3 linked regions of the Callithrix jacchus genome follow. The main gene of each other region encodes a partner of the protein of the gene in region 3 in a complex. Links are inferred from orthologs where the notes say so. Each region holds a gene or a part of one and is shown on either strand. Other genes may lie near its edges. The genes, in order: THBD, F2RL2 and F2.

Region 1 (10,137 bases), on a different chromosome or scaffold from region 3:
CCTGCTTCAGGTTCTTCCCTATGCCTCCGTCCCTGATTTTTTCACAATTACTTATTGTTATTAGCGGTAGAAATGCTTGGCTGGAGCAAATTTAATCCAACAGACATTTGGTGAGTCTCTATCATGGTCAACAAAACATACTGGAGGCTGAATACAATCAGACGCCAAATCCAAATTCTAGGAACTTGTTTTCTTTTTTGTTAAAATTTGTTAAGAGTTGACTGTGTCTCCTCCATTCTAAGTGCTTTACATGTATGACCCATTTAGTCTTCATCCTAACACTTTGAAGGAGGGACTATTCCCATTACACAGTTGAGGAAACTGAGGCACAGAGGGGCGGGGTTATTAGTCAAATCTTAAAACAAACAAACAAAAACTTGTGAATGCCAGAGCTGGTTCTCCAAGGCAGCCAAGTTGGCTCCGAAGTCCACCCTTTTAATTAACCCTGAGATTGGAGGACCTCCACCCTTGTCTTTGCAGGTGAATGTGAGAAAATCACCCTGGAGAGGACAAAGAAACATCCACCACAGGTGCTCCGATAAGTCCCGGGCATGGTCTAGTTACAGTGTGCTGTTACGTGTAAGGGGATAGTAAGATGTGTGGGAATCGGGACTCCACGTGCAGCAAACCGTGTGGTAGAAGCATGATTAGGTACAGAGCAAGGAGGGAGTGGTGAGTACTAAGGAATGTCCTGTCTATGGGAAGTCACAGACAGATCAGTTCTGGTTTGCTTAAGCAGAAGCACCTGCTGATGGGAAGCTTGAACTGGGACTTGAGAGAAGGGAAAGATTTCAGTGGGTGAAGATTCGGGCAGAGATGAGAATGCTGATGGCAGAGGAAGAGACACAGGTGGTGGTGAGCGGACATGGTGCTTCTCTGACAGCGAGCAGGAGCCTCTCTTGCCAGGATGTTTCCACATTCATGGAGACCAGTAAGACAAGGGTCCTTGAAGCCTTGTGAGGTGGAAGGGGTGCAGGCTCTGGGTCCAAATCCCAGCACAGCCCCTTGAGTGCAAATTTCCTCATCTGTGGCCACAGAGTAGAGGCACTGTTGCGAGCATCTTCTTCGGTGTGGAGGGGAAAGAGCATGGGATCTCCCGGTAGGCGGGAGCACTCTGAGGGAGTATGAGGATCAGAGTGGCCTCAGCCACAGTGGAGAGAAAAGAAGCAAGGAAAAGAGCTGGGGACCCAACTGTCTCAACACAAATTGAGAAGGCAGGAGCAGTGATCAGGAGAAACAAGACACGAAAACTGGACAGAGGATGAGGAGAGTAGAAAGTCAAACCTCAGTAGACCAACTATCGGAACTGGGAAAGATGGGGTAGGGGTCCCTTTTGGAACACGCTCCCCTCAATCTCCTTGGACACTGCTACCACTGCCAAGGGAATGGGTAAGTTCACCAAAAGGTGGGTTGTAGCGATAGATGATGAAGACCACCAGCAGAACCTTGAGAACAGCTGCTCCAGTGGGTGGGGCAAGAGGATGCCAGGGGCCTCCGCAAGCTCATAGGACAGGAGGGGAGGAAAATACGTGTCTCAAAAGTGATTGGAAGAGGAGCCTTGAGAATGGTGAAGGGTCACAAGTGCAAATGGCACCAAGGTTTCTTGAAGGATGGCCGAAAACAAGATTTCGGCCACAGTATTTAGGACCTGATGGTGTCCTTCAAGGAAGCTGTTTCAGGAGTAAAACAAGTCTTTGCTGGTGACCCACAGTGAGGGTGCTGAGCCGGGAACTGGGTTAAGGAGTGGGAAGTGAAAGTGTCATCTGCAAAGAGATAGGAGGGAGCGGCACGCCCGGGTGTGCAGGTGGCACAGATAGGAAGATAGGGGTGGGGCAAGAACAGAGACAGGGGACCTTCATTCACCACAAGGTGGTTTAAAATGTGAAAAACCTCCAAGGTACTGTCTGAAGAGGAAAAATGAAGCTGCTGAGGGCAGGTCCTGGAAGGCAAAGGTATCCTGAGCACCAGTGGTAAAGCCCTGATGGGTGGGAAAGCCAAATGGGTCATGCCCACTCATCCTTCTACAGGGCAACCCAGACACTGGTACCACCCATGGGGACAGTGCTCTGCTTCCAACTGTTGTTGCTCTAGCTTCTTTCTAATATAGAAACATCCAAAATCTGCACCTCCTCATATAGGTTGATCCAAGGTTCACAGACATCACTGAGTTCTCAGTGGACTCAGTCACTGGGGCTGTTCTCACACTTTCCTTTTCTTTTCTTTTTTCTTTGCAAGAATCAGTAATGGGTGCAGGCAGACCCGCACAGATCGTCCAGTGAAACATGGTGGTGGTACATCAGCTAGAATCCCATCCAAGAATGCAAACATCCTGGTATGTGGGGTGAGACCTGACCCTTTAATGTCCCTCAGTCCCTTTCAGGGCTGGCAGGCTCAGAAGGGACCTGCTGATCACCCCCCAGGGCCCCATGTCTTGTTTAATGCTTTGCTGTCACAGTCTTGAAATCCTTGTAATTGAACAAAGGACCCTACATTTTCACTTTGCACTGGTCTCTGATTCCATAACGGATCCTGTCCCCTCTTTTGTCTCATCCACTCCGTGAATCGTCCCCACATTCAGACCCTTCAGCAGTGTCCCCAAGAGGTTCCTGCCCCTGTCTGAAGCTTCACCCTCAACCCCATGGCGGCACCCCAGGCAGCCCTGCTTCTGGGTCCCGCGTCGGCAGGCTGTACACCGGAGTCACGACCATTGATTCAGCCGAGACAGCCACCGACTGCCTGCTCCCGCCGGGGACAGCTCTGCTGTCCTGTCTGCTGCCCTTCCCTTCTACTTCCCAGGGGTCCGGGTCAGGTGAGGTGCAGCTGTGCGCATTCCGGGAGCTTCAGACCCCTGTGTGTCCAGCAGCTCCTCCGTTTCCGGAAGGCTCTGCCCCAAGGCGCTGGAGGGTGTGGGGTGGGACAGCCCTTTCGCTTTCGGAGTGTCCACGCTCCACCCACTTGGTCACGGCGGGTCAGTCCAGTCCAGCCCGGCCCACCCCCCCGGTGCGTGTCTTTCGCACGTGCAGGCTCCATACTCTCTGTTCTCGTTTAATGTCCGGAATCTACGAGACCCTGGAGGCAAGAGGTAAACGCCGCGGAATCCACAAGGGGCTGCCGGGGTACGGAGCTTCCTACCCCAGGGGGAGGCCTCTGCGCTCCCAGACCTTAACCCTTTTTAGCCCGAAACTTCTCCAACTTCCTTGGCTTTGTTTAGAGCTCGACAGCGCCGCCGCCTGGCGCTCGTTGTGAGGACGGTGGAGGAGAGACGCAAGGGTGTCTTTGAACCTTTTGCCTCTCACTGTTATGGGGGCGACCGGAGGAGGTGGCCCACTCCTCCGCATTCCCAGTCAGGGAACTACCGGACGAGGTCGAAAGCCACAGGTTCCTATCTCCTCCTCCAGCCCTCCTCACCGCGCCCATCCACGGGACCGTGTCTCCTCAGTGCCCTTTGCCAAGCAAGTGGCATTTCTGTGCATCTCGGTATCAATGCGGCCGCTGGACCAAATGGAAACTTTCTTTGCTGACATGAGTGGGACCCGCGGGAAGCCCGCAGCGCCTCCCCGAGGGGCTGCCAGCCACCCTGTTGGGGTGCGAGATGCGCCGTCCCTCGGAAGCTGGACGGAAACCGGCCCGGCTGCTTCGCTCCCACGCGCCCGCTCTTACCCCGCGCCGCAGCAATTCACCTGCCACGGCCTCTGAGCGAGGTCAGGACCTCAGGAGCCGTGATAGTGTCCCCGCGCCTTCCTCACGTGACGAGATGGGGTTGCCCAGGGACTCGCGGGTCCCCCTGGCCAACCATGGGGCAGAGGGCGCTGCTGTCAGGCCAGTCTTCCCCGCCCTGTCCCGTCACCCCAGCCACACCCACTGTCCTCTGAGGCCAAGCGCTCCGCCGGTTCCCTGAGCCAGGCACCCTGGCAGGGGACGGGATCCAGCTGTCTCTCCTTGCGAGCCTGTCTTTGGGGAAGTCCACGTCCTAGACAGTCCCTCCCAAAGTCCCCTTCGTGCGGGTCACCCCTCCCAGTGTCCTGCAGGTTTCGTGCACCATCTCCCCCACGCCCCATTCCAAGCCCTCTTCGCTGACGTCTCCGATTCCCAGAGCTCTGCAATGCGGGCTTTCCTTGGATGTGACGGCAACATATATGAAAAGAAAGGAAGGAAGTCCAAGAGATGAAGGAGGGCTGCACGCGTGGGGGCCAGCGTGGTGGGGGCGGGGACAGTCGTCTGGCTACAGGGGTGCTGGCCTTTCCTGGCGCCTGCCCCTGTCGGCCCCGCCCGAGAACCTCCCTGCTCCAGAGCCGGGTTTACTCATCCCGGCGAGGTGATCCCATGCGCGAGGGCGGGCTCAGGGCGGCCGGAGAACCCAGCAATCCGAGTATGCGGCCTCAGCCCTTCCCACCAGGCACTTCCTTCCTTTTCCCGAACGTCCAGGGAGGGAGGGCCGCGCACTTATAAACTCGAGCCCCGGCCGATCCGAATGTCAGAGGCTGTCTAGCAGGGGCTGCGCGCCGCGGCCAGAAGGGTCTGGACTGAGACGGTCAGGAGAGGCTGTCACCAGCGGCGTCCTGCGCCCCTCTGCTCCGGCCCGGCCCGGTCTCAGTGCCTGCGCTTTTCACAGCGCCTGCACTCGGCGCGTCTGGGTAACATGCTCGGGGCCATCCTCCTTGGCGTGCTGGCTCTGGCCGGCCTGGGGCTCCCCGCACCCGCAGAGCCACAGCCCGGTGGCAGCCAGTGCGTCGAACACGATTGCTTCGCGCTCTACCCGGGCCCCACGACCTTCCTCGCTGCCAGCCAGATCTGCGTTAGACTGCAGGGCCACCTAATGACAGTGCGCTCCTCAGTGGCTGCCGATGTCATTTCCTTGCTATTGAGTGGTGACGGCGAGGTTGGCCCGCGCCTCTGGATCGGCCTGCAGCTGCCACCAGGCTGCGGCGACCCCAACAGCCTCGGGCCCCTGCGCGGCTTCCAGTGGGTTACGGGAGACAACCACACCAGCTACAGCAGGTGGGCGGAGCTCTACCTCAATGGGGCTCCCCTCTGCGGCCCGTTGTGCGTCTCGGTCTCTGCTGCTGGGGCCCCTGTCCCCGGCGAGCCGGTCTGGGAGGAGCAGCCGTGTGATGTGAAGGCCGATGGCTTCCTCTGCGAGTTCCACTTCCCAGCCACCTGCAGGCCCCTGGTGGTGGAGCCCGGCGCCGCGGCTGCAGCCGTCCGGATCACCTATGGCACCCCTTTCGCGGCCCGCGGAGCGGACTTTCAGGCGCTGCCGGTGGGCAGCTCCGCCTCGGTGGCGCCCCTAGGCTTGGAGCTGGAGTGCGCCGCACCGCCTGGGGAGGTCCAGGGACACTGGACTAGGGATGCGCCCGGCGCTTGGGACTGCAGCGTGGAGAACGGCGGCTGCGAGCACGCGTGCAATGCGAGCGCTGGGGCTCCCCGCTGCCTCTGCCCAGTCGGCGCCGCCCTGCAGGCAGACGGGCGCTCCTGCACCGCACCCGCGAAGCAGTCCTGCGAAGACCTCTGCGAGCACTTCTGCGTTCGAAACCCGGACAAGCCGGGCTCCTATTCGTGCATGTGCGAGACCGGCTACCAGCTGGCAGACGACCTGCACCGGTGCGTGGACGTGGATGACTGCATGCTGGAGTCCAATCTGTGCCCGCAGCGCTGTGTCAACACTCAGGGTGGCTTCGAATGCCACTGCTACCCTGGCTACGACCTGGTGGACGGCGAGTGCGTGGAGCCCGTGGACCCGTGCTTTGGAACCAACTGCGAGTACCAGTGCCAGCCCTTAGGCCAAACTAGCTACCGCTGCATCTGCGCCGAAGGCTTCGCGCCGGTGCCCCAGCAGCCGCACAGGTGCCAGATGTTTTGCAACCAGACTGCCTGTCCAGCCGACTGCGACCCCAACACCAAGTCTAACTGTGAGTGTCCTGAAGGCTACATCCTGGACGAAGGTTTCATGTGCACCGACATCGACGAGTGCGAGAACGGCGGCTTCTGCTCCGGGGAATGCCGCAACCTCCTGGGTACCTACGAGTGCATCTGCGGGACCGACTCGGCCCTTACTGTCCAGATTGGCACCGACTGTGACACCGACAAGGTGGACGGAGGCGACGGCGGCTCTGGAGAGCCTCCGGTCAGCCCGACGCCGGGCTCCACCTCCAATCCCCCGGCCGCCGGGCGCGTGCATTCGGGCGTGCTCATAGGCATCTCTATTGCCAGCCTGTCCCTGGTGGTGGCGCTTTTGGCCCTCCTACGCCACCAGCGCAAGAAGCAGGGCGCCACCAGGGCCAAGATGGAGTACAAGTGCGCGGCCCCCTCCAAGGAGGTAGTGCTGCAGCACGTGCGGACCGAGCAGACGCCTTAGGGACTCTGAGCGACCTCCGTCCAGGAGCCCGGCTTTGGCGTGGGCTTTCTCTCGCTCCTGTGCCTCCTCGCCCTCAGCTGTACTCCACCGCTACCCAGAGCACCCTAGCTGGATTACAGCTGGAGAAGGCCCGCCCCGCCCCCACCAAGCTGTGTTCTCTGATTCCATGCCTAAACGGGGAGAGGCCGATTAGAAGGAGGAGAATGAGCCTCAGCCTCTTCCATGACGTCACTGGACCACTGGGCAGACATGACGATTTTACGACGAAGGCAAAGAAGTGTCGCAGCTCCTCACCACTGGGCGCAGGAGGGTGAGCGTTATTGCCTGGCGGCCCTTTGGGCAGACCTTGACCTCGTGGGCTAGGGATGAGCAAAATATTTATTTTTTAAAAGTATTTAGGCTTCTGTTTGTTTCCTTTTTTCCTACCTGTATGTCTCCGGTATCCACTTTGCATACCTCTCCCATCTCGCTCTACAAACTCCCACTTCTCATGTGGCAGATAAACTATCTTAGTGAATTCTTTTTCCTGGCCCTCTCACATTTATGAAGCAAGCTCCATTTCTTCGCCATTCTTCCTAGTTTCCTCCTCTCAGGAACTGGGCCGGCTCACCTGAGTCGCCCTGCCTGACCTGTGCCTGACCCTATTTCTTTTGCCCTTACCTGCCTGCTCAGACAGAAACTCCTACATGAACAGAAACAAAAACACTCAAAATAACAATGGCCCTTTGCTTTTTCACCAGATTTGCTAATTTATCCTGAAATTTCAGGTTCTCAGCGCAAAATAATTTTAAGCAAAGGTTGAGATGTAAAATGCATTGAATTAATGTTGCTGGACTGTCATAGAAATTACACCCAAAGATATTTTTATCTTTATTTTTTTAAACAGTGAGCCTGAACTTTGTGGTTGCTTTGATTTGTACTGAAAATGGTAATTGTTGCTAATTTTCTTATGCAGTTTCTTTTTTTGTTATTATTACTTTGACAGTGTTGAAAATGTTCAGAAGGTTGCTCTGGATTGAGAGGAGAGACAGGCACCTTCCAGCAGCCAGTTTAAGAAAGTTTTGAGCTTCATGATTCATGCCAGTTGGTAATTGTCTCTCACTGTCCTTGTCATTGGTAGACCTAAATAAAACCAGCTCTACTGGTCTTTTGGAAGGGACCTTGGGAATAGATCCTGGAGGATGCCCAATCAGGGCTCAGCCTTAATCAGGTCCTCAGAAAATTTCTACCATTTCAGAGGGGCCTTTTGGAATGTGGCCCCTGAACAAGAATTGGAGGCTGCCATGGGAGCTGGTTAGAGATGCAGAATCCTAGGCCCCACCCCATCTAGTTCATGAGAATCTATATTTAACAAGATCAGCAGGGGATGAGTCTGCTCAGTAATTTGAGGTCAATGGTTCCAGTCTGCTTCCAGTTTTCTGGAATACATTAAATAGGGATCAGTTATAACTAGCAGGCCAAGTCAGGCCCTTATTTTCAAGAAACTGAGGAATTTTTATTGTGTAGCTTTGTTCTCTGGTAGAAAAGACTAGGTACACAGCTCTAGACACTGCCACACAGGATCTGCAAGGTCTTAAGCCAGGAGTGAAAACCTGCTTCAGTGGATGGAAACAAATGTATCATAGAAATGTATCTTTTGTAAGACAAAGATTTTCATCTTCTATTTTGTAGACTCAACATATTTGTACATAGTTATTTATTTGTTGGAGATAAACTAGAACACAGGCAAAGCCCTTGCTTATGATGTCACTTGTACAAAATAAACAAATACAGTGTACTCTTGGGTTGTGTGTCTGTTCAGTTTTCCTCCCCCAGTCCCCTCAGTTTAAACCATGCAAATGCTGTGAGACACGTGAATTCTTTTTCCCTGCACCCCAGCGCTCCTGTTGTCTGAGGATGGCACCCTCTCTGATTTTCAAAGCTCTTTCCAGAGGCTACTACTACTTTCACTGATCTCCGTATGCACAAATATTTATTTATTTCCTTCCGTAACCATAACAACTTCATATATGAGGACTTGTTTTCTGTGCTTTTTAGTACATTACAGGATCATTTGTTGGAATGAATTAAATAAACCCTTCCTGGGGCATCTGGCGAATCCCAGCTGTGTGTCCTGTGTATGGTTTGGCATTATCTGCTCTGTGAGATATCCAAATTCAATGCAGTCATGAAGGATGTCGACTGGTGGCTCTAATTCAAGTATTCATTTCTAAAGGAATGAAATCATTCCCAGCTCTGTTGGAGATGAAAAACAGTGCCTTTTCACAGCATACATTTCTTGGGCTCACTTTCCTAGGATGGTAGGGCTGGCTGAATGCAATATGCAGGGCTCGGAAAGAGTTTTTAAAGAAAAAATTAAGAGAAAGTAAAGCCCAGGCAAACATTCAAGTGCTTTATATGTCTGGATAAAGCCAAATTTGTGAGTTTCTGTTTGAGTGGTTATTGTGAAAACAGGGTTGGAGATTTTGACATCCATCACAGATGCAGTGATGACGTGAGTGTGTGTGTGTGTGTGTGTGTGTGTGTGTGTGTGTGTGTGTGCTGGGGCAGCTGCCATGCACAGTGCCCTATGGAGATAGCAAGCTGAGCCAAGCTCCCCCTAAGGAGTAGACGGTCTTTGTGAAGGAAGAGTTACACAAGCGGGGACAGGACAGTTGCTGGGAGAACAGAGGAGACAGTGACACCTTACAATTTGCTCCCAGCCTTCTATTTTTCAAGAGGGTCAGCTCCCAGTCACTGTCACATTGACTTGCAAGGGCTCACAGCGTTAGGATTTCTTCTTATTCCAGAAGAGGGGCCTTTTCTTAAGGGACACTGGAAGACCAAAACCCAGAGGCAAAAACCCTTCATGTCCTGAGAGCAAAAACCTAGGACATTAGTTGTTTGGGGCCCTGAGCTTCCCTGTCCGCCTCACTTCCTGCTGCCTGAGCTATCAGTGGTTCTGTTTACAATCTCCTCTGAACTTGGGATTCTCAAAATAGCTAAATAGCCACAGTGCCTCTCAGAGAAAGACACCAGGACCGCATACACACTTCACATCAGTTAGCTTTAAAAACTATCCACCCGCATGTACAGTCAGTGTAGACTTTATGAAACCAGAGCCAGGGGATCCACCTGTGCAGTCTCTGCTTTCCGTTCACATCATCGGACATACAGGTCTGAGGGAGACTCCCAGAGACCAGTTGCTGTGGCATTTCACAGCACAAGAGGCCAGGGCAAGAAAGCTAAGGTACATTTCTGGATAAGCTGGGATTCAAGTTTTTTTTTTTTTTTTTAATGTTTTCTAGTCTTTGGTTATAAAGTAAACAAAATTCAAATTTTAAGTCCAATGACTTGTTATGTTTTTCCAGTTCTCACCTCTTTTCTCGGATTGGTTCAGCAGTTGTTTACCGAGCACTTACTCTGTGCCTTTCACGGTGATGGGCACAATGAGAAGCCCCTGCCATATAAGACAGACTGTGGCACGGGAGAAAGATGAAACAACCGATCACCCCCAAACTGCACTTCACTTAGAAACAGTGATAAGTGCAGGGGAAGAAAGGCACAGCATACTCTGAAACAGCCCAAGAGGGAGACAGGATTTAGAGTGAACGACCGGAGGGTGCTTCCTGGACAAGATGACACTTAATACCAGTCCTGAGGGGGAAGGACTGGTTTGCCAAATGCAGACTGGAGAGGGAGCAGTCCAGGCCGGAAGGGCTGCACGTGAGAAGGCGCTGCACCGGGAAGAACCCTGGCTAAGCGCACTGGGCATACTGAACTAGGTATTGCTGGCTGCAAGG
Region 2 (8,832 bases), on a different chromosome or scaffold from region 3:
CTGGAAGTTATCAGGCCACACCTATTGTACACAGTGAATTCAGCTTGTGCAATCTCAGGATTATGCAGGAGGTTTCCATTTCATCCCGGAGCTAACTGCTAGAGATTAAAGCAGGAAGAGAAACTGGCTCTGAATGAAAAACAGGTTACTAAACACTAACTTCAAGTATTCAATGAGGAGGAATTCTGAGGCCTTGGGACAAAACGCAACAGGCACAGTACTGGATATAAATTGAAATATAATATATTTGGCATAAAATATAATATGTCCATATAAATTTGCATAAAAGTCCATCTTAAAGGTAACATCAGAAATCTTAGTCTATTTTCTATACATGTGAAAGATTTACAAATAAATTACATACTAATAAATCTTCAGGTTTGAGCTTCAAGATTTTGTTTTTGAAATTGTAGGAATTAGGATTATTAACATCAACGTGCCAAGTAACACCAAATAATTATAGCAGATAGTTGATGTGTTTCCATCTTTAAAAAAGTTTATTTCCAACTTCTTAGGTCCTCATACCGATTTCATCTTCTGATTTTCCCTCCTTTGTTTCCTCTTCTCTTAAAATCTGTCATTTCCCCTAAAATCCACCTTTGGATTCTTTTTTCTCAGAACTCTCCCTAGGCCATCTCAACCACTCCCACTAAATTAAACTAGTAAACCATGCCTCTAATTTGGGCTCCTGGAATTTTGGACCCACATACAGTCTTCTAACCAGTTGCTGGACATTTCACATACTAATATTCCACAAGCAATTCATCCTCAGTAAGACTAAAAACAGACTGTAGCTTCCCCTCCATCCTGCCCCCTTGTCTCTTCCTCGGACTCAATTAATGGCATCCTCTCCCTCCAAGACATCTAGAGAGAAACCTGAGTCGGTATTGCCTCCTGCCCCTCCCTCACTGTACCCCAAAGCCAATCAGTCACCAAGTCCCTCTGAGCCACCATCAGAGTCTCAGGTGTTTGCTGTTGCCTTTCCATGACCAATGCTCTAGCTCAGCAACTCACTAAGCTATGGATGACAGTAGCCTCCAAATCAGGCCCCCTTGCCTCTAATTTCTTACCTTTTCAATCTATTCTCTATGCTGTCACCTAAGTCATCTTAAAAACAAGTCAAAATCATGGCTATATTAGTTTCCTATTGCTGCTATATCAAATTATCACAAATTGAGTGGCTTAAAACAACAGATTATCTTGTATTTCTGGAGATCAGAGGTCAAAATCAAGACTGTTGGTGGAGTTGTGTTCATTCTGGAGGCTCTAGGAGAGAATCTGCTATCTTGCTTTTTTCAGCTTCTAGAAGCTGCCTGCATTCCTTGGCTTATTACCCTTTCTTCCATCTTCAAAGCCAGCAGCATAGCATCTTCAAATCTCTAACTTAAAGCCTTTACCTTCCCCTTATATGGACTCTTATGATTATATTGGGCCCACCTAGGCGATCCAGGAAAACCTCAATTTAAGATCCTTAATTAAATTACATCTGCAAAGCCCCTTTTGCTAGGTAAAGGAACATACTCGTAGGTTTCAGGAATTAGCAGGTAGAATCTTTGGGGAGTTGTTATGCTGCCTAACACAATGGTCACTCCTGTGTTCAAAATTGTGTGTGCAACCCCAGCATCTATGAACAGGCATGATTTCTTAGGACAGTTTAGAGGCCCTCCATTAATTTAGCTGTCACCCACTCTTTCAATTTCCTTTCTCAGCTGCACCTTATTAGCATGAGACAATGCATTTTTATACATCTTCTCCACTAGTAGAGTTACTTACAGATAGAAATGGAGTTTATTTAAAACTTTACACCACTGACATGTAAGTGTACAATAACAATTTGCTAAATCAACTTATCTGGCATTCCCAGATCCTCTACTAGCCCATACTATGCTGCTGCCCATTCATCATTGGCAGAATCTTACTCATTAAATTTCATCTTTTTATGAAACTTGCTCGTCTTTGCTCAAGTTCATCTTTTCCTTGACATTTTGCTCAAACACCTGAATCTATTAAGTATTGTCTGAATGCCTGTATGGTCAACATGCCTATAATGTTCCAATGTGCTATTTTTGTTTCTTCCAGCAGTATTATAAACGCCTTACACACAATGAGCGATCATTTAGTTTTTGTTTCTGCATGAGATAGTGTTGTCCTGGAGCATATGACATGTATTAAGTATATGCTTGTTGAGTGCCTAATCTATGATTTTTAAAAATAAAAATGATCTTAAATTCTATAATCACAGAAATTACACAGCATGAAACACATTGTTTTCTTTTCTCTTGAATCATAAATATATGTGAATACTTCCTTTCAATTACAGGCATGGAAAATGATACAAACAACTTGGCAAAGCCAATCTTATCTGTTAAGACCTTTCGTGGAGCTCCCCCAGAATCTTTTGAAGAGTTCCCCTCTTCTGCCTTAGAAGGCTGGACAGGACCCACCATTACTGTAAGAATTAAGTGCCCTGAAGAAAGTGCTTCACATCTCCACGTGAAAAATGCTACTATGGGGTACCTCACCAGCTCCTTAAGTACCAAACTGATACCTGCCATCTACCTTCTGGTGTTTGTAGTTGGTGTGCCAGCCAACGCTGTGACCCTGTGGATGCTTGTCTTCAGGACCAGATCCATCTGTACGACCGTATTCTACACCAACCTGGCCATTGCAGATTTTCTTTTTTGTATCACATTGCCCTTTAAGATAGCTTACCATCTTAATGGGAACAACTGGGTATTTGGAGAGGTCCTGTGCCGGGCCACCACGGTCATCTTCTATGGCAACATGTACTGCTCCATTCTGCTCCTTGCCTGCATCAGTATCAGCCGCTATCTGGCCATCGTCCATCCTTTCACCTACCGGGGACTGCCCAAGCACACCTATGCCTTGCTAACATGTGGACTGGTGTGGGCAATAGTTTTCTTATATATGTTGCCATTTTTCATCCTGAAGCAGGAATATTATCTTGTTCAGCCAGACATCACCACCTGCCATGATGTTCACAACACATGTGAGTCCTCGTCTCCCTTCCAACTCTACTACTTCATCTCCTTGGCGTTCTTTGGATTCTTAATTCCATTTGTGGTTATCATCTACTGCTACACAGCCATCATCCGGACACTTAATGCATATGATCATAGATGGCTGTGGTATGTTAAAGTGACTCTCCTCATCCTTGCGATTTTTACCATTTGTTTTGCTCCAAGCAATATTATACTTATTATTCACCATGCCAACTACTACAACAACAATACTGATGGCTTCTATTTTATATATCTCATAGCTTTGTGCCTGGGCAGCCTGAATAGTTGCTTAGATCCATTCCTTTATTTTCTCATGTCAAAAATCAGTAATCACTCCACTGCTTACCTTACGAAATGCTGAAACCATCTTAGAGAAAAAGGACAGCCATCACAGAGAATGTTTGTTTTCACAGACATCTGTTTTCATGGACAACATATGCATAGTGCAAGAAGCTCCATTTCTGAGCTCCTAAGAAATATGCTTCAAAGGTCAAACATTACAAAAGCATCAGTAAAAAAATTTTCTTTTAGACTGAGTCTCCTCTGTTGCCCAGACTAAGTGCAGTGGTGCTATCTTGGCACATGGCAATCTCTGCCTCCTGGGTCAGCCTCCCAAGTAGCTGGGATTACCGACATACATGCCCAGCTAATTTTTGTATTTTTATTAGAGACAGGGTGTCATCATGTTGGCCAGGCTGCTCTCTAACTCCTGACCTCAAGTGATCGCCTGCCTTGGCCTCCCAAAGTGCTGAGATTAGAGGCGTGAGCCACCACGCCGACCAGCATTAGTCATTTTTAAAAACACTTTATCAGTATTTTAAAAATGTTAATACAGGAGAAAAGATATCACAACTCTTTATGGAAAACGACATTTCCATTTACCTTATTGTAACTTTAAGCTCTTTAAATCTCCATCTTCCCTATTTCTGTGAGTGGTACTGCCATCCTTGAAATATGACATCATTTTTTATTCTTTGGTCTCTTTTGACTCTCATGCTGATGGCTGCCTCATCAACTGGCTCTATCTTTGCAGGGTCCCTCACCATGATCCTTTATCTAGCTCCACCTTTACCTTCTTTTTTCTTTCTTTCTTTTTAAATAGAGACAGGGTCTCACTTTGTTACCTGGCTGAAGTGCAGTGATCATAGCTCTCTTCAGCCTTCAACTCCTGGACTCAAGCAATCCTCCTGCCTCAGCCTCCCAAGTAGCTAGGACTACAGGCATGCACCAACATACCCAATGAATTTTATTTTTTATCTTTTGCAGAGATGGGGTCTCATTGTTTCCCAGGCTGGTCTTGAACTTCTGGTCTCAAGCGATCTTCCCATCTCAGCCTTTCAAAGTGCTGGGACTACAGACATGAGCCACCATGCCCAGCCCACCTCTGCCTTCTAACCATTCTCTCCACTGCCAGCCTACGCTCCATTTCACAGGTCCCGCCAGATTAATCTTCCTTGGATATCAGTACTAAAACACCTCTACTAACTCCACTGCTTCTATAATAAATCATAAATCTTTAGCCTGGCATTCAAGGCTAACTTGCTAATCCAACTTCCCGTTAAATCTTGCTTGTGATGAGTAGGCACCAACCAAACCTCTTGCTCTGCTATTTCTCCATGTTGCCTCAGACTGAAAAGCTAGTCCTGACATCTTTGCCTTAATTCTGTCCATTTCTGAAGTCCTCGAAGAACCATTCTTCCCTGATTCTCAGGCCAGCATTGTCATCTTTCTTATCTGTACTTCCAAAGCACTTTTGCACACTTTTTATTATGGCATCTATATATAGTTCATTTATATTTAAATTTTTTAATTCCATGAACAATCAAACACCATGGATAATGGAGAAGGTGCTCATCCTCTCCCTTCCTTGAACTTCTGGGTGATGCCAGGCCCAAGTCTCTGTGGGGCCCAGCTCTATGCTTTGCGTTCTGTGTGGCCGAATGAATTTAAAAAATCTCAAAGCAGCTAAAAAGCCCATTGACTTCATACTGAAAAAGCAACATACTGTGATGACATGGGATGGTATCATTTCAGGTTGAGTATATAAAAAAGTAAGGAAGCTAAACTAAGACTATACTCACAGGCCATTTAGAAGTTTAAAATAACGCCTCCACTATTTTTTTTTCTTAAGCATAGCTTTTAATGGGGAAATGGAATTTTGTTGTTAAAACCCATTATATTACAGTAAGTAAATGACCATTTTTCCCTTAACTCAGTGATTAGACAGGAGGGAAGATACTAGTGGCGATGAATGAATGGTAGTAGTGAATATAAATGGGGTTGAGGAAACTTTAAGCATAAAGGATTGCTGAGATGAATTTACAAGTCTGTAGGAATCTGCCTTGAGTGTACATTTTGTAATGACCAACAAAACAATAAAAAACAATTTTAAATGCATATTTTTAAATGTGTAGAGTTTTTTATTTCATTGGACTAAGGTAAGAAGGGTCCACATGAAGACCCTTTATGTGTGTGGTTATGCAAAGAGCAAAAATCAGGTAAACACTAAAGTGAGAATGAAAAACAAATCTAAAGTAAGTTTCAAGATGATAAAAACTTCAATGAAAGGAACTGACTTCTGAAAATTAAGTCATCAATTATAATACAGTTTTACCTAGGGAAAAAAACACAGTAGTATTTGTTAAAAGCACACAATTTTTATGGTATATACAAGGAGCAAAACAGAACTTTTTGGTAGGGTATAATCCTTAACATTCACAAGCAAAGCCTTCAATTGTAAAATAGCACACAACCCAGTGAACAGACATAGAAAAAGTGTTCTACTCTGCTAATTTATTCAAGTCTTTTTCTAAGAGGCAAAAGGAATTTGAAGGCTACACAAAGTTATACTTGAAATACTGCTAAAGAGAACCAAAAATCCTCACCAACTTCCATCACTGTCCTCAGTCTTTGATAAAACTGAGCATCCATTCTATGAAGATATTACCCATTGTGACCATTAATAGCTATATGCTTTGCCACAAATTTTACTTATACTGATAGTGTCAGCAATATAATTTTCTCCTCCTATTTTCCAAGGCCAGACCTTGCGAAGGCCAAGGAACAGAAATACCATTATAAACACACAACTGGAAACTTCCAGGATAAAATAGTAGAGGATGCTGAATGTGGTGGCTTGTGCCTATAATTCCAGCTTTTTGAGAGGCTGAGGTGTGAGGATCACTTGAGCCCAGGAGTTTGAGACCAGTCTGGGCAACATAGCAAGATCCCATCTCCAAAAAACCAAAAAAAAAGCAGAGGTTAAAAACAAACATAAAGACACTGCCGAACAATAGAATTAGATTTTTCCAGAGAAAAAGAACAGGCTGAGAAATCAAGAAACAGAGAAAGAAAACTTTGCTTAAAAACAGGAATTTAATCAAATATGATTTATTGCACAGATGTGCAGTGTTTTAAATCTGTTAGCAACTGTCAGTATATTTCAAAACCCCTAATTATATAGGCTAAAAGTGGTATAATGCCTGAACTAGAACCCAGATCCCTAGGCTCCATATTAATGTTCTCATCATACCATGCAAGCTATACCTTCTACACCTAGAAAGGGTGCCTGACACAGAGCTGGCATGGTGTGGGCACTCAAAGGCTTCTTTCAAAGGACTCCTGTGGAGTTCCATCTCAATCTAGATTGGAATGCCCAGTCTAGAGGAGACCTATACTGCCTGCCTATGGAAAGGCCTTGGGTTTGTGGAGTCAGGCTCACCTCGAAGACAGATCTGTGTCTCTGTTTGTTCTCAGAAGACCCCGACTTTGATGTGTGAACAGAGCAGACCCTATGTCTAGTAAGGACCTTGAGGCCAGGTGCGGTGGCTCACACCTGTAATCCCAGCACTTTGGGAGGCCGAGGCAGGCAGATCACCTGAGGTCAGGAGTTAAGACCAGCCTGGCCAACATGGTGAAACCCTGTCTCTACAAAAATACAAAAATTAGTTGAGCATGATGGCATGTGCCTGTAATCCCTGCTACTCAGGAGGCTGAGACAGGACAATCAGTTGAACCTGGGAGGCAGCGGGTGCAGTGAGCTGAGATGGTGCCATTGCACTCCACCCTGGGCAACTGAGCAAGACTCCATCTCAAAAAAAAAAAAATCCTTGAGATATTGACATCACTCACCTCTTACTTGGGAGGCAGCCATAGGTGCCCATAATAATACTAGCTACATTATTTAACATTATTTAAGTCCTTTTTTTGGTGCCAGGCTCCATGCTAAATGCTATAGCTACACACACATGTGCACATAGTCTTAATTATTAGTACATATAGTTATATATTGATATATACTTACATATTGTATATTTGCATTGAACCCTTACCATAATTCTTTAAGACAGGTACTATTATTCCAATTTTATACGTGGAAAAATAGAGAGATTTGGTGACTTGACCAAGGTTGTATAACTAATCTGTGGCAAAGCCAGGATTTGAATGATGTCTGTCTTCAAAGCAAATAACTTTGTTTTGCTTTTAAGTTTATCATGTGCCATGGTCACAGACACCTAAGTGGAAGCAGCAAGGTAGAAGCCCACTCTCCTCCTCCTGGGGTGTGCGGACACCAGACTTGGGTGAGTCTTCACTCTACCCCTCACTGGCTATACCTTGGCCAGGCATTCGCCCCAAGCCTCAGGCTCATTCACATCAGATGAGACAGCACCCATTCCACAGCTGGTATGAGGCTTAAATGAGAAAGACTGATGTGACTGGGGGCACTTGGCAAAGTTCAGAGGGTCAGGAAATGCCACCACCCTTCTGGTCAGAAGGCTGGCAGTGCAGAGGGCACACCATGGGGGTTACCTTCCTCTACCTTCAGTGAGGCAATGGAGTAGTGAGGACAGGATTTACAATGCTTTTTAAGAGTTTAGCAACAGTAATTATGTAATATATACACTCCTTAAAAAATTTAAAAATCCAAGCAGTACAAAAACAGAGTGAAAAAGAAATCACCCATCTATACTAGCCTTCTAGATCACCTTCCAAAAGGTATCCTCCCTCCAGAAATACTTTAGACACATATAAGAGTGTGTGTGCCCCTCCCCACAATACACATACAAGTCTGTACTCCATTTATATCCACATCACAGCATGATTCTTTTGCTTAACAACATTTAGGTTGGTTTTGGTGTTTTGTTATTGCAAACAAAGCTGCAATAAACATCTTTTCCCATCTGTCTTAATACATAATTATAATGTTTCTGAATCAGAGAGACCTGAGCTGTAGTCTCAGGATTAATTACCTTTTAGAAACTTTTATTTTATTTTATTTATTTTTGAGACAGAGCCTTGCTATGTTGACCAGGCTAGGAGTGCAATGGTGTGATCTCTGCTCGCTGCAACCTCTACCTTCTTGGTTCAAGAGACTCTTGTGCCTCAACCTCCCAAGTAGCTGGGATTATAGGTGTGTACCACCACACCTGCTAATTTTGTATTTTTTTTTTTTTTTTTTTTTTTACTAGAAATAGGGTTTCGCCATGTTTGCCAGGCTGGTTTCAAACTCCTGGCCTGAAGTGATCTACCCGCCTTGGCCTCCCAAAGTGCTGGGATTACAGGCGTAAGCTACTGTGCCCGGCCACATCTTAGATAGCTTTCAACAAGTTACTTAATCTTGGTCGCATTATGTGTAAGATGGCAATAATGATGGTAAAATGATTCAGAGGGCTGTTATGAATTGTTGTGATGATTAAATGAGATGATACACGAGTATCTAATATCATGCCTGGCTAATAGTAGGTTCTCAATAAATGTTTGCATTAACCAAGGATGTTTTTCTTGTTTGGAATGACACAGTTCCTAGGTT
Region 3 (10,398 bases):
GGTTCAGGCAATTCTCCTGCCTCAGCCTCCTGAGAACATTTTTTTTTTTTTTTTTTTTTTTTTTTTTAGGTAAAGCCTTGCTCTATCACCCAGGCTGGAAGGCAGTGGTGCAATCTCAGCTTACTGCAACCTCACCTCTTTGGTTCAAGCAATTTTCCTGCCTCAGCCTCCTGATAGCTGGGATTACAGGTGCATGCCACCATGCCCAATTAATTTTTGCATTTTTAGTAGAGACATGGTTTCACCATGTTGGACAGGCTGGTCTCAAGGTCTCAAACCAATGACTTCGTGATTAACTTGCCTTGGCCTCCCAAAGTGCTGGGATAACAGATGTGGCCTACAGTAAATTTTATAGCAGCCCATGCTAAGATAGCCATGTATGGGCATAAGAATGTCATATACTCAGCAGGCCTACAACTGTGAGTAAAAGTCTGCAAAGAGGCCACGAGCAGTGGCTCATGCCTATGATCCCAGCACTTTGGGAGGCCATGGCGGATGGATCACCTGAGGTCAGGGGTTCAAGATCAGCCTGGCCAACATGGTGAAACTCCATCTCTACTAAAAATACAAAAAATAGCTGGGCGTGGTGATGGGGTGAGCCACTGCACTCCAGCCTGGGCAACAGAGTGAGACTCCATCTCAAAAAAAAAAAATAAGTCTGCAGAAAGGCCAGTGTTATCTCAAACTTATTTAATTTTTTCAACAATACCTTTGTGAGGTGAATGATGTTATAATCCTGATGTTACAGATGGTGATACCAAGCACGGGACTCCTAAACCAGTGCTCTCTCTCTCTCTCTTTTTTTTTTTTTTTAACAGAGCCTCACTCTGTAGCCCAGGCTGCAGTGCAGTGACTCAATTTCAGCTCACTGCACCCTTTGCCTCCTGGGGTCAAGCAATTCTCATGCCTCAGCTTCCCGAATAGCTAGAATTATAGGTGGCCTAGGCCTCAGCCTCCCGAGTAGCTGGGATTATAGGTGACCCAGGTGGGCAGATCATGAGGTCAGGAGTTTGAGACCAGCCTGGCCAACATGGTGAAACCCCATCGTTACTAAAAATACAAAAATTAAGGTCCAGGCGCGGTGGCTCACGCCTGTAATCCCAGCACTTTGGGAGGCCGAGGCGGGTGGATCATGAGGTCAAGAGATCGACACCATCCTGGTCAACATGGTGAAACCCCGTCTCTACTGAAAATACAAAAAATTAGCTGGGCATGGTGGTGCGTGCCTGTAATCCCAGCTACTCAGGAGGCTGAGGCAGGAGAATTGCCTGAACCCAGGAGGCGGAGGTTGCAGTGAGCTGACATCGCACCATTGTACTCCAGCCTGGGTAACAAGAGCGAAACTCCGTCTCAAAAAAAACAAAAAAAAAACAACAAAAATTAGCCAGGCGTGGTGGTCCATGCCTATAACCCCTACTCAGGGGCTGAAGCAAGAGACTCGCTTGAATCCAGGAGGTGGAGGTTTCAGTGAGCCGAGATGGCACCACTGCACTCCAGCCTGGGCAATAGCGTGAGACTCCATCTCAAACAAACAAACAAACATACACTTATATTATGACCCAGAAAATCCACTCCTAGGCATATACCCAACAGAAATAAGTGCTTATTTACCCCTGAAGATTTGTACAAGAATATTCATAGAAGCACTCTTCACAATAACCCCAAACTGAAAACATATCCAAACCCCCATCAACAGGTGAACAGCACATAAAATGTGCTATGTTCATTCAGTGACAGACCACAAAGCATTAGAAGAAAGGAACTCCTGACACCGACAGCATGCACGAATCTTAGAAACATGTTGAGCAGGCCAGGCACGGTGCCTCATGCCTGTAATTCCAGCACTTTGGGAGGCCAAGGTGGGTGGATCACCTGAGGTCAGGAGTTTGAGACCAGCCTGGTCAATGTGGCAAAACCCTGTCTCTACGAAAAATACAAAAATAATCCCAGCTAGTTGGGAGGCTGAGGCAGGAGAATTACTTGAACAAGCAAGATGAAAGTTGCAGTGAGCCGAGATTCTTCCACTGTACTTGAGCCTGGGCGAGAGAGCGAGACTCTATGTCAAAAAAAAAAAAAAAAGAATCGGGTCGGGCACAGTGGCTCACGCCTATAATCCCAGCACTTTGAGAGGCTGAGGTGGGTGGATCACGAGGTCAAGAGATCGAGACCATCCTGGTCAACAAGGGGAAACCCCGTCTCTACTAAAAACACAAAAATTAGCTGTGCATGGTGGCGCGTGCCTGTAATCCCAGCTACTCGGGAGCCTGAGGCAGGAGAATTGCTTGAACTCAGGAGGTGGAGGTTGCGGTGAGCCGAGATCATGCCGTTGCACTCCAGTCTGGGTAACAACAGCGAAACTCCATCTCAAAAAAAAGAATCACGGTCTCACTCCATTACCCAGGCTAGAGTGCAGTAGTGCAATCATAGCTCGCTGCAGCTTGGAACTCCCAGGCTTAAATGATCCTCCTGCCTCGGACATCAGGCGTGCATCACCATTCCCAGCTAATTTTTCAGTTTTTTTTTTGGTAGAGATGAGAGTCTCGCTATGTTGCCCAGGCTGTTCTCAAACTCCTGGCCTCAAGCAATCCTGCCATGTTGGCCTCCCCAAGTGTTGGGATTACAGGTGTGAGCCACTGTGCCTGGCCTAAAAAAAATATTAAGAAATGGGCCTCCCAGGAATTAAGGTCTTTGTGGGAGTCCTGGTCTCTAGTTTTCTGCCAGCGCTCCCTCTTCCCACACCGTGCATGACCTGGTCCAGACCCCCAACAGCCAGGCCCAAAGGGCAGGTGAGGCGAGAACTTGTGCCTCCTGGTGTTCCTGCTCTTTGTCCCTCTGTCCTACTTAGACCCAGGACTAATATTTGCCTTTTGTACAGCAAACAGGGAATGGAGGAGGGACAGGAGTAGCGCTGAGCGGAGGAGGGCAGGGTAGGACCAGAAGCCTCGCTAGGCCTAGTCTGGGGCAGGCAGGCAGGGAGAGGGAGGGCCCTGTAGTGGAGACCCAGATTTGGACTAGCTCCTGTTCCGGGACAGGTGCAGGTCTTGGGAAGTGACAGAGGATAGACCAAAGGCCCAAGAATCCCTGGACCTGACTCCTCCTCCCAGGCAGCTGCCACACACAAACACACTCCATCCAGGTGCCCTGGATGGGAAAGAGGAAAATAGGCCCCTCCTCCAGTGGCTGAGAGGCTGGGGCACTGTCCCTGGTGCATCCTAGGTCCAGAAGTAAGTTCCATCAGGCCACACCTTTTATCTTTGTCTCTATTTTTGATATCTGTGTATTGTAATTACACAAACCTCCACATTGGCTTATATGCACAGACCTACTGATTACTAAGAGGTTATGATATTCCATGGGTTTTTCATTCCTAATCTCCTTTAGTCCTCGCAACAAAGTATTATTCCCGGCCAGGTGTGGTGGCTCACACCTGTAATCCCAGCACTTTGGGAGGCCAAGGTGGGTGGATCACCTGAGGTCAGGAGTTCAAGACCAGCCTGACCAACATGGAGAAACCCCATCTCTACTAAAAATACAAAATAGGCCGGGTGTTGTGGCACATGCCTGCAATCCCAGCTACTTGGGAGGCTGAGTTAGGAGAATCACTTGAACCTGGGAGGTGAAGGTTGTGGTGAGCTGAGATTATGCCACTGCACTCCAGCCTGGGCAACAAGAGAGAAAATCTGTCTCAAAAAATAAAAAGGTATTATTCCATTGTATAGATGAGGAAACTGAGGCACGCAGAGATTAAAATCAACCACCACTGTATGTTAGGATTGGAAGGAGCTCCAGGAATGTCTCAAAGCTCAACTGGTCAGAGTTGGCTTGAGACTCAGAGAGGGAGGGTGGGAGATGATGTGTGACATTTTTTTGTGACTCTCCTGACCATCCATCCCTGGTCCCAGGAGGATCTGTCCTCTCGGATGGTGGGGGTGGACAGGAGGACTATCTACCAACTTGTCCCCATGGCCCTGACCCTCTGATCTCACCCTCTCCACTGATTTCTTCATGTTAGTTCAACATTAACCCAGAGGGGTCAGGATGGACAATCACTCAGTGACCCAGGAGCCGCCGCACTATGGCGCACGTCCGAGGCCTGCAGCTGCCTGGCTGCCTGGCCCTGGCTGCCCTGTGTAGCCTTGTGCACAGCCAGCATGGTAAGGGGGTGCTTGCAGGCTGGGACAGACTGGAGGATTGGGGTGTGGGCCCATGGGCTGGGGTCTCCTGACTGGACAGAGCACACAGCGCTGGTCCCAAGGTAGGTCTCAGCCCCAGGCGGCCACCGGAAGGAAGAAGTCGGGAGTTCAGGGCCTGAGAATGGCTGCTTCTCTCTTCCAATATGGGGAGTAGGTTGGGGGCAAGGGGCAGTGTAGGAGGGCACAGGGGGCCACAGTTAGCAGCCTTCCAGATACTTCCACCAGCCCAGACAGCCCCTCTCAGAAGCCAGCATGGCAGGGCAGGCTTCTTGCCTCTACAATGGCCAAGACAGCCTGCTCCTGAGGCCGCTGTTCCATGACACCCCCCGCCCCCCTGCAGTGTTCCTGGCCCCTCAGCAAGCGCTGTCGCTGCTCCCGCGGGCCCGGCGAGCCAACAGCGGCTTCCTGGAGGAGATGCGTCAGGGCAACCTGGAGCGAGAGTGCATAGAGGAAATTTGCAGCTACGAGGAGGCCTTCGAGGCTCTGGAGTCACGCACAGACACGGTGAGCCTGGGCTGCTCGGACGGGCCCGGGGCCTCAGAGCGGGCCCAACTCTAGACACTTCCACAGAGAGGCGAGCAAGGAACGCCAGAGCCCCTTTGCTGCTCACTGCCTCATTTCAACTCTAAGTCCCTCTTCCCGGGGCTGGCAAGAGGAGCAGCCTCAGCTTTTCTTGGGGGTCCGTGTGCCTGTACTGTGTCAAGGTTCCGGGGTCCTGTGCAGCCCCATGACATGAGGGAGTCCTCCTCAGTCTTCAGACATCCATCTACCCTGGCCCGGGTCCACGTGGCCTCCTCAGCGGCAGCTTCCTGTGCCACCATTGAGGGGTGGGACTCTGGGGAGGCCACCACGAGCCCCAGACTCAAGACTCAGTGCTCCTGGAACCCTGTGTCGCCTTCCCTGCCTGTAGGGCTCTGCCAGGGTCCTGCAGTCCCCTTTCCTCCCCTCTCCCCCAGCACTGTTCAGTTTCGGTGTGTGTGCTGGAGGAACTCCCCTATCCTCAAATATTCTTCTTCCTTTGGAAACAAAAGTAGGAAGCTCTGCCACAAACCTCCCAGAGCCTGTCCGCTGCGTGACTAGGGTAAAGCAAAGTATCAGGAGGAGACATAATGTTTACTAAAACAAACAGGAGCCGCTGTAGCCTCACTCCCAGCCCTTGTTTTTCAGGATGTATTCTGGACCAAGTATAAAGGTGAGCACTGGGAAGGATTTGCCCCAGGAAGGGAGGCCTGGGGACCCCGGTGAGATAATTCCACCCAGAGAATCTTCCGCTGCACCCAGCCAGCCACCCATCCCCCCATTCCCCACTCCTTCCTTCCTCCCTCCCTTCTGTCCCTCCATCTCTCTGTTTCTCCACATCATCTCATCCACCCTTGAATCCAGCCCATCCCAGCCATACCCTAGTCCCAAAGGTAAACACCTGGGTCTTTTCCAGCTTGTGAGTTGGTGAGGACGCCTCGAGAGAAGCTCGTTGCATGTCTGGAAGGTGAGCAATTGACATGGGGTTGAGGGGCAGGACACGGAGGGGAGCCTGGGAGCAGAGGAGCTCACGGGTGGGCTTGGAGTGTGGCCGGCGGAGTCTGAGGCCATCTCCAGCATCTGACATCACTCTCATTCCTGGGTTCAACATGTTGGAGGAACAAATGAATGAATGGATTAATGAATTCACGTTTAAGGCTTCATTCTCCTTTGCCTGACCCGAGTCTCTGCACCTGCCTAGTCAGAGCTCTGATGATGTCACATCCCCTTCTAGCTTTAGGTGTCATTGCACCAAACAGGGACCCAAGCCCCCAGCTTCTCTGACACCAGGGACTTCCCTGCGTGCACCATGGTGTTTCTAGCACCTGGCCCTTGCATATGTTGTCAGTTTCCTCTGAAGCAACCATCACCACCTACACTGAACATTTTCCTATCCATCAAGAACTGCTTCAAATGTCATCACATTTGCTGAGACCCCAGGGAGCACCCTCCCTCCTGTACCGTCTTCTGAATGCACCTTTAGCACAACAGGTTCTGTGACTTGTAGCTCTTTATTATTTATTTATTTATTTTTCAGAGACAGAGTCTCCCTGTGTTGCCCAGGCTGGTCTTGAACTCCTGGGCTCAGGTGATTCTCCCATCTCGACCTCTCAAAGTGGTAGGATTACAGGTGTGAGCCACCGCATCCAGCTGCTGTACTTTCATTTGTCAAATTACATACTCAACTGACATTTTACAAAGTTCCCGCTACGTGCCAGGCTCTGTATCAGGTGCTGGGGATTTTAAGAGAATCAAATACCATTTCTGCCTTCAAGGAATTCAAAATCTCAAAAGAGAACAAAAAATATAAAACGTTCAAGTGATTGCGGCTGGGCACAGGGGCTCAAGCCTCTAATCCCAGCACTTTGGGAGGCCAAGGTGGGTGGATCGCTTGAGACCAGGAGTTTGAGAAGAGCCTGGCCAACATGGTGAAACCCCGCCTCTACTAAAAATACAAAAATTAGCCGGGGTGTGGTGGCATGCACCTGTAATCCCAGCTCCTGGAAAGGCTGAGAGGGGAGAATCACTTGAACCCTGGAGGCAGAGGTTACAGTGAGCCGAGATCACGCCACTGCACTCCAGCCTGAGCAACAAAGCAGGACTCCATCTCTAAAAAAATAAATAAAAATGAAAACACAGGCTGCATGCGGTGGCTCACACCTGTAATCCCAGCACTTTGGGAGGCCGAGATGGGCGGATCATGAGGTCAGGAGTTTGAGACCAGCCTGGGCAACATGATGAAACCCCGTCTCTATTAAAATACAAAAAATTAGCAGGGGGTGGTGACACACGCTTGTAATCCCAGCTACTTAGAAGGCTGAGGTGGGAGAATTGCTTGAACCCAGGAGGCAGAGGTTGCAGTAAGCCAAGATTGTGCCACTGAGTTCCAGCCTGAGTGACAGAGCAAGACTCCGTCTCTAAAACAACAACAAATAAATAAATACATAAACAAATAAAGTGATTGCAACAAAAGTTCTGTTCAAGGCACCGAGAGAACACAGGAAAATGAGTGTCTGGTTTGCCAGAAGAATGAGAGACAGCTTCCCAGGAGAGGCAGAGTTCTGCCTGGCCTGGGGGGATGCCCAGATGAACAAACAAGAGGGCATTCCGGGCAGAAAAAGCCCGTGGAAAGACCCAGAGGCACGAGGAGCCAAGCTAGCAGGGACAGGTAGACCGGGGCCAGATGAAAAGGACCTTGGTCACTTTTTCATCCCGCTGGCCAAGAGAAGCCACTGAATGGAAGTTCCCTGAGGGCAGGGCTGTAACTGTCCTATTTGTCGTGCTGAGCACCCAACAGTGCCTGTCACATGGTGAGCACTCAGCAAATACTTGGAGGCCACTGTTGAGTGAATGGGAGAACTGCAGGATGGAGAGGAAGAGGAGCTGGGTGAATGCAGGTTAAGGATTGTGGACCACTGTGAGCTTGGAGGCAGGGACAGACACAACTTTGCTGGGAGAGAGGAAATAAGTCCCCAGGCTCCAAGGCTGACCGGGGTGGGGTCCCCACAGGTAACTGTGCGGAGGGTCTGGGTACGAACTACCGAGGGCATGTGAACGTCACCGCATCAGGCATCGAGTGCCAGCTATGGAGGAGTCGCTACCCACATAAGCCTGAGTGAGTGATGAGCCGGCCTTCCCACCAAGGGCTGAGAACAGGGAGCAGGGACACCCCGTGGGCCATAGCCTCCTACTGGGAAATTTCCTGTTCCAGAATCAACACCACCACCCATCCCGAGACCGACCTGCAGGAGAATTTCTGCCGCAACCCTGACAGCAGCACCATGGGACCTTGGTGCTACACAACCGACCCCACCGTGCGGAGGGAGGAATGCAGCATCCCTGTCTGTGGTGAGCTGGGGGCAATGAGGCAGCCCACAGCCAAGGCCCGGGGGCTTCCTGGGGCCTGGCAGCCTGGGATGGCAACCAAGATGCCTGGCTACCTGGGTGCAGTGGCTCATGCCTGTAATCCTAACACTTTGGGAGACTGAGGTTGGCAGATCACCTGAGGTCAGGAGTTCGAGACCAGCTTGGCCAACATGACAAAACCCTATCTCTACTAAAAATACAAAACTAGCCAGGTGTGGTGGTAGGCACCTGTAATCCCAGCTACTCAGGAGGCTGAGGCAGGAGAATCACTTGAACCTGGAAGGCAGAGGTTGCAGTGAGCTGAGATCATGCCACTGCACTTAAGTCTGAGCAACAAGAATGAAACTCCTTAAAAAAAAAAAAAGATGCCAGCTACCTTCAGAGCTGGCCTCAGTCATTCATATCATATCTATGTCTATTGCACAGTGAAGTCAGGGAATCAGAGATCTGCCAGCTTCCTTCTTCCCCTCCCCACTCTTGACTTCCTGATGGTCCAGGCCGTGGCTCATTCCAAACATGCCTCCTTTCTGATCAAGGCACTCCTCCCTCCAAGAAGCCCTCCCTAGCCACTTCAGTCCACATGCTCTGTTCTGAGTATCACAGAGCAAGCCTCGTGCCCTGAGAGTTGGCGGGCGTGGTGCTGCTGATCTCAGCTGCACTCGCTGACGAATCCGTAGGGTCAATTCACGGAGGCTGGCCATGGCTGGGTGGCTCTGATTCAAACAATGGTTCCAGCTGAGCCTGGCTCCTCATTGAGGGTTGGGCCTAGATCTGCTCCACGTGTGTTCTTGCTGGGGCTGAGACAAAAAGACAGCAGGTAACTGGGAAGACTTTTCTTAGCTGATGGCAGACACAGAAAACAACAAACAGGAAAGGTCATCTGTTCTGAAGACCTAGGCTCCGAACAGGTACAGTCAGCCCCGCCCGCGTTCCACTGACCAGAAGTCTATGTTCAAGGCCAGAGTCGAGAATTGAACTACACCTCAGCCTGTGAAATCACAGCAACGGATGGGGATGCAGGCAGGGGTAAAGAATTAGTGCTGGTTACCAGTCCACAAACATGCGTTCGTGTTCTTTGTTTTCTAAGCATCCCTGTTGGGCCCATTGCTTGTTCCTGGGGTCAGTTTTTTTTTCTTTTTGAAACAGTCTCACTCTGTCATCCAGGCTGGAGTGCAATGGCACAATCTTGTCTCACTGCAACCTCCCCCTCCTGGGTACAAGCAATTCTCCTGCCTCAGCCTCCCATGTAGCTGGGACTATAGGCACACGCCACCACGCCTGGCTAATTTTTTGTATATTTAGTAGAGAGAGGGTTTCTCCATGTTGGTCAGGCTGGTCTCAAACTCCTGACCTCAGGTGATCCGCCCGTCTTGGGCTCCCAAAGCCAGGAATGAGTCACCGCCTGGCTCCTGCGATTGGATTTATAGCAAGTTCATCCTAACGAAAAAGGCTACCATTTACCCCCCAACTCCCATATGCACACACACACACACACACACACACACTGATGATAAATAAGTTTCAGGCTTGCAGAAATTGACCTACTCTCCAGGTGAACATCTTAGTGATCCCAGCAAGCTTCCTGCTGTGCCCTATAAAAACACAGACTCAGGCCGGGTGCGGTGGCTCACGCCTGTAATCCCAGCACTTTGGGAGGCCGAGGTGGATGGATCACGAGGTCAAGAGATCAAGACCATCCTGGTCAACAAGGTGAAACCCCGTCTCTACTGAAAATACAAAAATTAGCTGGGCATGGTGGCGCACGCCTGTAGTCCCAGCTACTCGGGAGGCTGAGGCAGGAGAATTGCTTGAATCCAGGAGGCAGAGGTTGTGGTGAACCGAGATCGTGCCATTGCACTCCAGTCTGGGTAACAACAGCGAAACTCCGTCTCAAAAAAAACAAAAAAACAAAAAAACACAGACTCCTCCAGCAGCTCCAGGCAGCCACTATCAGCTGACTACAGATAACCCAAGAGGCCAGTGGAATGTGAGTGGGGCTGACTGTGCCTGTTCTGGGCCTAGGCCTTCAGGACACATGACGCTTTTCTGTTCCTTGTTTTCTGTGTCTGCCATCAGCATAAGAGTTTTCCCAGTTGCCTGCGGCAGCCTTCAGACAGTCACTACCAGCTGACCACAGGTAGCCCAGGAGGCCAAACCTGGTTACTATCTCTGGTTTATTCTGTGCCAGACACTTAATGCTGTATATTTTAATTCTCTCAACAAGCCTGCTAGAGTGGCGTTGATAACGCCTTTAAAGGCAGACAAACAGAAGCCCAGAGAGGTTAAGTAACCTCAGGCCATGCAGGCAGAAAGCAGCAAG

Evidence for each region.
Region 1: the proteins of F2 (region 3) and THBD are in contact, whole or in part, in a crystal structure (PDB 1DX5), measured with the Homo sapiens proteins. The link is inferred for Callithrix jacchus from reciprocal best matches to the Homo sapiens genes F2 and THBD. Residues at the interface, in NP_000497.1 of Homo sapiens: Phe382, Ser385, Pro386, Gln387, Leu423, Arg425, Thr432, Arg433, Tyr434, Arg436, Asn437, Glu439, Lys440, Ile441, Met443, Lys470; in NP_000352.1 of Homo sapiens: Ser424, Cys425, Glu426, Cys427, Tyr431, Ile432, Leu433, Asp434, Asp435, Thr440, Asp441, Ile442, Asp443, Glu446, Asn447, Gly449, Phe450, Asp479.
Region 2: the proteins of F2 (region 3) and F2RL2 are in contact, whole or in part, in a crystal structure (PDB 2PUX), measured with the Mus musculus proteins. The link is inferred for Callithrix jacchus from reciprocal best matches to the Homo sapiens genes F2 and F2RL2. Residues at the interface, in NP_034298.1 of Mus musculus: Phe379, Gln384, Glu385, Leu386, Leu420, Arg422, Arg428, Thr429, Arg430, Tyr431, Arg433, Lys437, Ile438, Ser439, Met440, Lys467, Pro470; in NP_034300.3 of Mus musculus: Thr46, Phe47, Glu48, Glu49, Phe50, Pro51, Asp54, Ile55, Glu56.

The regions. Positions count from the first base shown.
Region 1 is NC_133506.1:30,076,599-30,086,735, reverse strand, and holds THBD (thrombomodulin), read left to right. Parts: upstream 1-4,473; 5' UTR 4,474-4,639; coding exon 4,640-6,355; 3' UTR 6,356-8,132; downstream 8,133-10,137. UniProt on the Homo sapiens protein: Endothelial cell receptor that plays a critical role in regulating several physiological processes including hemostasis, coagulation, fibrinolysis, inflammation, and angiogenesis.
Region 2 is NC_133503.1:134,426,115-134,434,946, forward strand, and holds the end of F2RL2 (proteinase-activated receptor 3), read left to right. Parts: intron 1-2,320; coding exon 2,321-3,384; 3' UTR 3,385-5,420; downstream 5,421-8,832. UniProt on the Homo sapiens protein: Receptor for activated thrombin coupled to G proteins that stimulate phosphoinositide hydrolysis.
Region 3 is NC_133511.1:111,765,013-111,775,410, forward strand, and holds the start of F2 (prothrombin), read left to right. Parts: upstream 1-4,048; 5' UTR 4,049-4,075; coding exon 4,076-4,154; intron 4,155-4,533; coding exon 4,534-4,697; intron 4,698-5,360; coding exon 5,361-5,385; intron 5,386-5,628; coding exon 5,629-5,679; intron 5,680-7,721; coding exon 7,722-7,827; intron 7,828-7,923; coding exon 7,924-8,060; intron 8,061-10,398. UniProt on the Homo sapiens protein: Thrombin, which cleaves bonds after Arg and Lys, converts fibrinogen to fibrin and activates factors V, VII, VIII, XIII, and, in complex with thrombomodulin, protein C. Functions in blood homeostasis, inflammation and wound healing.